3 linked regions of the Drosophila melanogaster genome follow. The protein of the gene in region 1 interacts with the protein of each later gene in a biochemical or structural test. Each region holds a gene or a part of one and is shown on either strand. Other genes may lie near its edges.

Evidence for each region.
Region 2: the proteins of dpr15 (region 1) and DIP-beta form a complex in vitro, tested with the Drosophila melanogaster proteins (one study listed by BioGRID).
Region 3: the proteins of dpr15 (region 1) and DIP-gamma form a complex in vitro, tested with the Drosophila melanogaster proteins (one study listed by BioGRID).

Annotation. Positions count from the first base shown.
Region 1 is NT_033777.3:12,156,504-12,160,259, forward strand, and holds the start of dpr15 (defective proboscis extension response 15), read right to left. Parts: upstream 2,093-3,756; 5' UTR 2,031-2,092; intron 119-2,030; 5' UTR 1-118.
Region 2 is NC_004354.4:21,455,678-21,459,433, forward strand, and holds the start of DIP-beta (Dpr-interacting protein beta), read right to left. Parts: upstream 2,062-3,756; 5' UTR 1,874-2,061; exon of another isoform or gene 1,789-1,873; intron 1-1,788.
Region 3 is NT_033777.3:28,968,239-28,971,994, forward strand, and holds the start of DIP-gamma (Dpr-interacting protein gamma), read right to left. Parts: upstream 2,135-3,756; 5' UTR 1,093-2,134; intron 1-1,092.

The sequences.
Region 1 (3,756 bases):
TATCTTCTTGTGCTTCGCGTTGCTGGCGTTTTCTCGGCGCACAAAATCGCAGGTTTAACATATTTTCAAATTGCACTTGCACGGTAAGCTTGTCGGGGAAATCTAAAATAACTAAAAGCTGAAAATGTCGTAGGGGAAGCTGAGCGAGGCAAGACAACACAACACGTGGCCAATTTTAAATATTCCCACAATGTGCCCGTCGAGCTGGGTCTCATCCTACATTTTAGGTCTTGTATTCCCATATTCTCTGGCAACTATGGCCCCACCGGCTCTTATGCTTTCCCTGATTCCTCTGGCCCGTGTCCCAGTTTATGGCCGGCATTTTGCGCCGCGTCCTGTTTTTGATATGTTTGTGTAAGTTTTCGGATGGCTTGGGTAATGTGGGTGCTCTTGGCATTAGTTGCCCTAACGAGGTGTTCCCATTTCATCCTAGCATTTGCAAATCTGACTCAAATCTGTTCGCCGTGTGGCATAAAATACATAAATAAATGATTTTTACATATAGAGAGGAAAGCTGAGAAAATTTAAATATAATCCATGAAAAATAATTTCTAAATAAAACCAAAAAGTTACTTTATAAATATGCTTGAAACCTTTGAGTGGAACTCATAAAATCTAATCTTTACAAGAGTTGACCCATCTGGGTATCATGAAAAAGTAACCATGGCAGTTTTCAGCGATATCCTGGCGAATTTGGTTTTCGGAATCCGAACACATGTTGTGTAAGCCTGAGCTGGGGCATTCCATTTGACCAAGCTCAGTTGCCGTCGTTTGCTCGGTTTCCCAGCTACTGCGGCTGCTTGTGTTACCTCATCTTTCTTTCTTTTACGCCCCAGACTATTTGGCATTAACGAAATTTATTTATGCGGGTGTTTAGTGGGGCGTAAAAGGAGTACATATGGCCATCGCGTCCGGGCGGGCGAACACGCCCACCGAGTCCACTTACGGATGCAGGACACGCGCAGGATGAATTGAAAGGATTCTCGATGGCTAGCCAAGGTGTAGGTGTAGGTAGGTCGGGCTGACTGGCTGGCTGGCTGGCTGGTTGGCTGAGTCTGGCCAAGAATAATGATTTAAATGCTGTTTTGTCTTTGCCAACAGATGGGCCTGAAGTCGGACTACGAGTGGCAGTCGGAGTTTGAGAAATGCCAGGCATACATAAGTAATGGCGGAGGAGTAGGTGGCCCAATGAAGCGTTAACTCAAATGTTAAACAAATGTAATGTTCCGGACGACTGGGCCGTATTCCCTCCATAAGGATAACGATGGGAACGAGTTGGGTTGGACCTTGAGCCAGAGCTTGGATAACACAAATAATATCAAATTGATTGCACAAACAAAACAGCAGCGGAAGTGTAAATGATTTAACACAATTCCTATTTCTATTCGCATTCCGCATCCTCGACTTTTGACTGTTGTCCGTCTCGGTCTTCGTCTTACTTTTGGCCGGAGCCATCTGCTGTTCAAACACTCAGACTTTTGGCCCATGCTCGACGGAGTGGAAAGCGGGAAATTCCCATCTCTTGTAATTTAGTTTATTTTGATTGCCGTTCAGCTTCGCAACTGGGTCATTAATTCGTTATTGTTTATGGGGTTATCTTAAAACAGTTTTTGTGGTAGGTCTTCTTCAACTGTTTTGTAACAGCAATTTAGTTCAACGGATTGTACAGATTTATTCTTTCAGTCATAGTAGATCGGAAAAACAAATGTATTTTAATTTTTCAATTTCATTGCTGATTTTATTATTTTTTAATGTTTCCTTTAATTAGAATTATAACCCTTAGTCTCGATCTCTGTGATTATATGACCAAAATATGATAATTTGGTTTATTTTTAAAAATTCTTATAATTTGTTTAGACCTTCTTTAGTTAAAGTTCACAAAACTGTTTTGATTTCCGTACTTATCGCTTGTTTTCGTTTTAATTTATCTTTAGGCTTCAATTTGATTAAAATCACTTAATGCGTATTTTGTTTACGACACAGGTTCGATCACTGTATATTTTTTGGCAAGATCCTCTTTCAATATTAACCATTTGGGGCTCTCCGTGGAGGATGTTTAATCTGCGTTCGGCGGCTGTGAAGCGAGAAGCGACCACGCTTGGCACCGGCTAAAAGTAAACTAAGCCAACTGACGACACCTTAACAGGCCAAGTCAATCGGGCCCGAAGTGAGCCGAAGAGTTTGGCTCCGTGGCGTATACGCAATATGCGCTAACAGCGGAAGAGAAATTAAGCTGATGCTGTTAGTGAGAGTTCACTTTCACAGCAGCACAAATGCCTGCCAACATGTTATGTTAACTCTTCAAAATCTGTCAACGAAACAAATGCAATTACACGGGTAAACTGCTCCATTGTTATGGCATGTTTTATGCATTGAGCAGTTAGGCAAATTACTCATTTGGATTTTATGTAAATTGTAGTCTGTGAATGCATAAACCTTGAGTGAGACCTAAATTATCCCGTAAGCCTAGTCAATTTCGTGGCAAAGGGTAAGTGGGAGGGAAAGGATGCAATCATAGCACCGTTTATGGCGGCTTAACAGTGCGATAACATAATTCCTCATTAACGTCGAACCAAAGGCGCCTGTACAATGCTAAAAATAAGTGCTGGCCAAAAAAGAGGGGCAAAAACAAAGCGGATACGAACGAAAGTGGGACAGCAGCAGCAGCCAGAGAAAACCGCATCTTGGACGGATATACCATGGCAAAGTGCAAAGCACTGGGATAACCGAGGATATTGCGGGCTGGAAGGAAAACAAAGGACCAAATTATAATGCAGACGAACAGGACATAGATGTCGCCGCGAACTGCAAAGACATTCGCGACTTTGAAGGGTGGAGTTCGGTTTCGAGAAGAGGAAAAATCGTAGAAAAAACTAAAGCTTTTGCATAAAATTCAATTTGTCGTGTGCAGCAGCCATGAATATGCTGAACTCCGGCTTTAAGCCGAACCTGATGATGGTCCCACGGCTCCCACTCCGCCCCCTGGGCGTAACATATGCGCGAAATTACTTACGTAGTGCTGGCAGTGACAGTTTTGGATCTGGAACCACCCCAGTGCCAGCCCGAAACCCAATTCCAACCTCAGCCCCAGCCCAATTTCCATCCAATACCAGCCCCCATGCCGAAAAAGCCCCACAAAAGCTTGTAAAACAATGGCTGCATATATGCAGTAGACACATTCACTTTTTAATGCGGCCCCGCCCACATACACAATTGCGAATATTTTTATTGTTTATGTAGTTAAATAATTGAACCACCCACGGCCACACACACACAATCATTGGCAAATTAAAACGATTTTTACATATATTTGCGCCTTTGTTTTGTTTTATGCAGTTGTATTTAAAGGCCCGCAGCTAATTGTTTTTCATAAAATATAACTAAAAGAATTACTTAAAAACATTTGCCCGGAACACGAACATGTCGAGAGTTCATTATAGGGCTATTATATGGGCTTAGTAGCTTAACTGAACAAATGTTTGCCCCGTCAAATTTGTATCTAGTCGGCTATTGAGTGTTGTCATATGCAGGAACCAAATTAGTTCCTATGAATAAAGCATACATGATAATAGTTGTTGAATCAGACAGATTTTGCATTTTAAACATGTTTCACGAATTACACCACTCTTTCAATGTACGATTATTCGCTCTACTCCTCTTATTAAACAATCGAGCGAATTATCCTTGCCAGTTGGAATGAAGAAAAATTTTCTGCTTAGCTCTGCAGTTCACTCAATAGAACTCAATCATGCAAGA
Region 2 (3,756 bases), on another chromosome or scaffold:
ATTTTGCAAAAAGGGTTCCCAAATATAATGACAAAATGTTGCACATAAATTTTGATTATTCGAGACCAATAATAAAATTAATTACGTTCCCAAAGTAAAGTTTCCCAAAAAAAAACCATTAATAAAGATTTTGGAAAATTGCGTTTACAATTTTCTCTGTGCACTTTGAAGCTTGAGATTTCCTGTGCCCAAAAAGGTCCAAATTTACATTTGCCGCATAAAGCCCTTTCATTTGCCTCTTTGCTCTTTTTGTGTGCCACTGCATACATTTTACACACTTCATTATTTAATATAAAATGCATCCTCACACGCACACCTGCGCACAAGGGAAGACAATTGCTGGGCAAGGCGATGCGAATGAGTAAAAACGTTATTTAATTAATTAATTTTCATTAAAAACACGACAAAATGCGACGGCTGGTGGGTGGGGAGCGGATGGTTGCGAACAGGGTCGCAGAGGGGCGCAGAGGGGCGTGGCTGGACGGCGCAGGACATTAAAGGACGAGCAGATGCCTGCTCCTTCCTTGTCCTGTCACGCTGGCTGTCATTTACAATTTTAATCTCGCTGTGCAGCAGTTTAGCTTAAGTTCGGACGTCGGGATAATGAGCGGCCAGGTCCGCGCTTAAGGATAATGGAGCCTGCAGCTGGACAGTACTCCCTGTCCCACTCCATCTGTAATTAAAAAATCGCGCATGCAGCCAGCACTCCCTTCACCTGGTCGAATAAGGGCCAACGACCAAGTTGGCTCACAAATTTCATGGCTAATAAATCACTTTTAATATTAATAAAACATAAATCATTGCCAACTAAAAACTTGGCCTGCTAGTTGGATGCTGCAGTCTCATTTTGGCGCCTTTTGTTCGATGGCAAAAAGTTTCGGAGGAGTCTTCCAGAAAAGGTACCTCAAGAATGTGCCAAACTGGTGGCGGATGGCGAGGGATGAGCGAGAGATTGAATGGGGTTTTAAAGTTCAGGTGGGTGAAAGTTCTTGAAGGAAATCAGAAACACAAAAAGGGTTCAAAGCAATACATGGATACCGGATTTAAAATAAAATTGAATTCGGATCGTCTTACAAACCACTAAAAAAGATATTGAAAACCTTACTTAATTTTTGCAATGTGTAATGTATGCTATCATATTATATAAAATATATAATTACAAACAATTAAAAACGAAAAGAACACAAGCTGACAGTTTTATAATTATGTTAAACAATTTATCAAATCGTTAGTATGCGACAAAATGTACGATATGATTTTGACCATAAAAGGTGACTACATTTTCCCCACACGAAGGTATAAAGATAGTTGTTTTTGGGAAAAAAAACTGGCAAAAGTTAATTTGCAACTTGGCAAATCAACTGTTTTATTTACTGAAAACAAGAAACGAGAATAAAGGATTCCAACGAGTGACGAGTGACTCACATAAATGCAAACAAAGAAAGTTAATGTTAGAAAACGGAAAGGACATAGAAATTCAATGAACTGAAAAGGAATTCACTCATGAACAGTCGAGAGAATTCGCAAGAAAACAACTCGATTGGTGTAACAATTGGTTGAAAGGCTGAGAAAAGAAAGGGAATGCTAACATACCACCGATAATGCAATTGACAAATGAGTGAACAAGCGTATGTGAAATGATTTAGGCAGCGATCGACGGGCAATGGAGTAAAGGACTAAACGAGGGATTGGCTTCACCTCACTAGTGTAGTAATTTCTAAATACGCAGTCACAGCTCACATCGTATGCTTCGCGAAAAACTTTTGAATTTTTGGGTCTTAGAATTACCTTGTTCGAAAAAACAAGCAAAGCTTCGAAACTAGTCCAAAGCACTGGCCAACACTAAAAAAAAACTTGAAAATAATCAACTAACACTTGTCAAAAACTCTTCTCTCGACTTTCAGCTAGAGTAATTGTATCATTGTATCGTTGTTGTTTCGCGCCACTCGAAACCCGTTTTCGAAACTTTGGAATTTTTAGTTTGAAACTGAGTCCTTTCGTGTCTCGAATCCACTGGACTGAACTGAACCGACGCGCTAGGAAGTTGCCCGAGCACTGAACCTGTCGCACCAAGCGCGTTTCGCATTGGGCCGACCCAGCGCAATGTGCTCGTCCTTCGGCAGCACGGCCATCCCGATTTCCCAATTTCCCGACTTCCGATGTCCTGGCACTGTGGAGTCCCGTGTCCCGTGCCTGCCATCCCGAGGCCAGCCGAAATGCTTCCGAAGGACGAGCTCGTGTGGCGGACGAAGGCGTCAGTGCTTGTCCTCTGGCAACATGTTGCCAGCAACATTTAGAAGCTGGTAAATTTACTAGAGCAATTGCCTTAACTTAAAACGCAGAGATCTGCATAAGTGGTTAGTTTTGCCCAGTTGATTATTATTGGTTGAAAAACATTCTAAAAGAAAAGAAAAACGAGTTAAAGTTATACAGAAACCAATTGCTGAAATATAAAAGGCTGTATGTTTTACCAAGAGCTAGTTTTTCGGTTGTTCGCTTTCATCATTTTTCAAATGGGATATAACATTGTTAGCTGTTTTGGAATACATATAGAATTTATATCAGCCGACTTTTGACGATATTTTAAGCCTTACCTTGTGCAAAAAATTAGGAAAAGTCAAAGAAAGACGAAAGCATATTGAAAATAAATCGAACGTTAGAAAATATATCTTTATTTTGCTTGATCACTTTTTAAAACATATTAATTAAATTTCCAAAAAAAGATTTTAATGAATGCGACTATCGGATATTTATTAATCACCTAAGGACTGTGCAAGGGAGATGGAAAGGTGGAAGCAAGCAGAAGTCTCAATAGACTTAACTTTTACTTAATTTACTTTACATAGGTTGCAATAGTTCGATTAAGGCAGTTTTTGTTGTTGAAAAAATAGGAACATTTTAGCTAGACATTAACGACAACTGTAACTATAACGTTTGAAGATAACTTGTAAGACTAGTCACTAGTTTTTATACACTTCCTTCTGCTTCTGTTACATACATACTTGTCAACGACTCCAGATTGCATTGTTTCTTAGCTAGGTTAGGTAACAAAACTTGTTTTGAGCACATCATCTTATTTTATTTATTTATTTAACAAAATTAAATATAGTATACAATACTAAACCTAATTAAATTTAATGAGTACTAGCTACGGGGGCCTTCGACTCGAGACTTATGGGTTAATTGCTTTATATAATAAACTTAGCTTTTTGGACAAATTTGTAAATTTTTGAGATATTTTCACAGGATGGGATACTTAAACAATTCGAGAGACTATGTGTACCAAATAAGTGAGATCTAATTGAGTGCAATTGACTGCAGGCGTTGAGAATATGGTCAACGGTGAGCTCGTCCCCGCATAGTTGGCATGTTGGTCGCGCCGATCTCGTCAGTAAGTGTTGATGTGTGGATTGGGTGTGCCCGATGCGTAGACGGATAAAGGTCGCGCATTCCCGTTTATGTACGTTCGTTGGTGGCTTGAACATGATGCAATTCGGATTGATAGACTGGTACCTGTGCATGAAGAGTGCCCATTCGGAGAGTTTCCTTTCTTTGAGGTATAACTTGATTCGACTTTTTAGGTCCTTGGAGTTAAACGGAGTGAACAGGATTGATGGTGTAAGCCTCATCTCTTGGGCGGCTTTGTCAGCAAGTTCATTCCCATGAATACCTTGATGACTGGGAACCCAGAGTAAGGTGATTTTTTTTGGGTGAGAACTTAGAATGTGCCTAACTTCTTGTGTTGTGGGGTCATTA
Region 3 (3,756 bases), about 17 Mb from region 1:
CATGATGGAGCCGAAGTGGAGTGGGCAAGAAATCCGGAGCTGAAACAGCCGTAAAGTTGATACTAAACCAAAGAGCAGAGCTGGCAAAGCTAAAACAAATCGGAGATGCTATTGTCACGAGCTCTGGACGCGCAGGTGCCCTCATTTTAGTGATAGTGTGTAAAATAAATTATAGAAAATTATTGAAAAAATACTACTACTACAGAGTTACCAAACTAGTAAAGCAACCAACGATTTTTTCCGAAATCGGGTCAAGAATTAAAACTATTCCTTGCAATTTACATCAAATGCTAACAAGACTTTCTGGAAATGACTAGTAGTTTTATTTGGCAGTGTCATTAAACTGAGTTTTTCAGCTGTGCGAAAGTTCTTGTCTTCAGGTCTTAAAATATCGTTAAATTTTAATTTTTAAAGCAAACTTCTTTTGCCTAACTAAAATTGTTATAAGATATAGTTGGATTTAAACATTGGTGCCATTTTTATTTTGCAATTTTCAATTAATTGGTACTTAATTAGTACTCCAAGTACCTTATGAATATTACATTTTGCAATTGCTTAAAAAAATGTTAAAAGCATTTCCCGACCATTCGAAATGACATTAGGATATCATTCTAATTGCTGCCCCGGATAAACTTGATTCACTCCAACAGGTTTCAATTTGAACATCCTAGAAGCTCCTTATTGGATCATTAAATCAAGAGCGACTGAGCTGACCTAAAAAACTGAGAGGGCTTAAATGCTGCTAAGCGAACTGAGTTTGTTCCTTAATCGCCATCAGGACCAGCCAGAACCTCCCAGGACCACCCAAAAGGTAAATCCACGGCCCTGAGCTCGCGAATCCAAGCCACCTCGGGAGTGCACCACAATGGATTTGCCACAGCCCAACTCCATGGCACGAGCTGAATATTCTCCGATTTTACCCTTTCTGGGCGCTGGGCGCAAAATGTTGGTGGGGATACAGATATCGGGTATGAAAAACAGAAACAGGAAAATAGAAATGATAGCAAAGTTGCAAAGCGATGCGGTGCGGGCGGGCGGTCTGAAGGGGTTGCTGAAACGGAAATCGACTTTGGTAAGGAGTTTTTCTCGTACCTGTGAATCGGAATCTGAACGCTGGAGCTGCACCGAAGTTATGCAAATGTAAAGTTGTTCGTGCCTGCTCCTGGCTGCTGAATCCTGCCGCAGGATCTGGCACCTCCTTCTGCTCCTGCCGCTGCTCCAACTCCCGCTGTCAATCGAAGGCGATGTCGCGAGTGCTAATGACGTTTGCTTTGATTGCGCCCCGCATGCGAATCCAAATCTGAGCCACAACTCACAACTGTCATTTTCGCAAGGATACTCGCATATGTACGTATGTGCGATGAGTATGTAGAATAGGATGGGTTCTTGAGTGTCTATCTCAGCTGGTACTCGCAGCTCAGCTCAGCTCCTCACCGGAACTCTATTTATTTAATTTGCATGCAATTTTCAATTTTTATGCGGAATACTTGGCATTGACAGCAAACGATGCGCACATTTCGCATCGGCAATGCACAATAGAAATTGAATTGCAAAAATTTGTTTGCCCGTCCAGGGCAGCAGGCAAATGGATTGCGAACACAGTGGAATAGCGGATTTTGAGGGCTCTTCACGTCTTCACGCCAATGTCACAAGGAGCCGCATTCAAGGAGCCAGCGCGAGAGCTGAACGAGTCGAAGAAATCGCACAATTTGGCGGCGAAGATGTCAAGTATACGCCGCGTTGCCAGTGCCACACTGACTGCAATTACAATGGTGGCCAACAACAAAGACGGTATGCCGGTACGCCACACACACAGACACACAGAGGCATACACGGGCACATACGACACACGGAGTTGAAGCCACAAATACGTACGCTCCGCTCCGCAGGATCCGGAGGAGAAGTCTGAGGCGAAGACAGGCGACAGATCCTGGTATTGCCCCGTCGACAGTGTGCGAAATAAATGCACGCGCACACACACGTTCACGAAAAAATCCCGCGAAATTTGGCGACAAAAACCAAAACAAAACAACAACTTCGTGCGCTTGGGATCACGATGAATGTTCGATGCGAAATGCACAAATGCAGCTGCTCTCCACCACCGAACGCTCCGAAACTGAATTCGCAACTGAGCCAGCATGAAAAAGGATGCTGCCATCTGGAGCCGAAACGGCTGGACGCACGAAGGATGCCGACGAGCGGCACGATGACGCGGATGCTTCGGATGCTGGCTCGCAGAGCTTTTTTGGCGAGAGAGCGAGAGGAACTGGCATTGGCGACGTGTGACTTCGTTAAATTTCTGCGGCGACAGCACACAAAACGGATTCGGAAGCGGAAGTAGCAAGTAAGCGAGCAAGGAGCGCTCTGTGGCCATGTCTGGGTGTGTGTGTGTGTGTGTGTGTGGGTGTGCCTCTGTGTGTGTGTGTGGATGGGCGCGCTGAGTGGGTGGAGTGGCGCTGAAGTGGGCGAAGTAGCGCCAAGTGGCTGGCTAAAGTCGACTCGCGGAGCACGACCAGAATGGAAGTTTTGTGTTTGTGTTTTGCAATGCCAACTAAACACACATTCAGCTCCATACACACACACATATGTATGTCTATACATATATTATAAGTCAAACATACCTACGCCGTGGCATCAATATTCACATTCGCACTTGTGCGAGTATTTTCTGATTTGCTGCAATCGCGTTTGCCAACAACGAACTTGGCTAACAACAACAGCTGCCGGAGTCACAGTCGCAATCGTAGTGGGGTATTTTCCAGCGGATGTTTGGTAAATCTTTGGCGCCGGATACCAGCGCTGTCTTCCCCGGAGTCGCAATCCCGCCCCCTTAGATCACCACCCCTCGCGGGACACGCTTATACTCTTTTCATATCTTTCTTGCTCTTACACATGAAGGAACTTTGAAAAAACAATGTAAAAGTATACAAATTTATATGAAAACCTTTATTTAAAATTTTTTACTAAAAAAGGCATTTCATTTATTATCTCATATGCAAGGTATTTCAGTTTAAATATTACATTCATTTTATTTGAAAATATTCTTTTAATAATAGCGTTCATCATTATTCCTATAAAAAAAATTGTATTTTGTAAAAACTTGGACATTTTGCTCAGTGTACTAGCTTACACCCAGGGGTATGTATGTGTTGGTATCGATAACTAATAAAAGCATTACATTTATGTTAGAGTCAAGCGCCGTGGCCCCTTATTTTCCCCCCACTTCTGTTTCGTCCTGAGCAATAATTCAGTTTCCATTTCTCTGTTTTCTTCAGTTTCTCATTTTCATTTTGCAGCCAGTGCATGTGTGCCTCGGCACTCCTCTCACCCTCTCCGTTTTCCCAACACTTTTGCCACAGTCATGGCCAACTAATTGGAAACAGTAGCCAGCTGCGCTTTCTTGGCCCATTTTGTTGCTGCAGCGGCTTGGAGAGCTGGATCCTGGTGTCTCGTTTAGTTGCCAATTGCTTAGTTGATTTTCATTGTCTGCCCTTTGGGCCACACTCACAGGTGGCTAACAGGGCGATGGTATGGGTGGAAAATGTAGGGGTTTTTCCGCTGTATTGGCTTGTAAGTGAAACGATAAACGCTGTAGCTCGCTGTCATTAATTGGCTGCCGGTTGATGTTTATGTCGTTAGCTCTTCGTTACTGCAAAGAGGGAAAAGCGGATGGGACGTTTAATAATCTCATCGCATTCAGCTGGGTTTTCACTGATTTTCCTGATCTTCTTCAGCCGCTTTTAGCTTGATATTCAA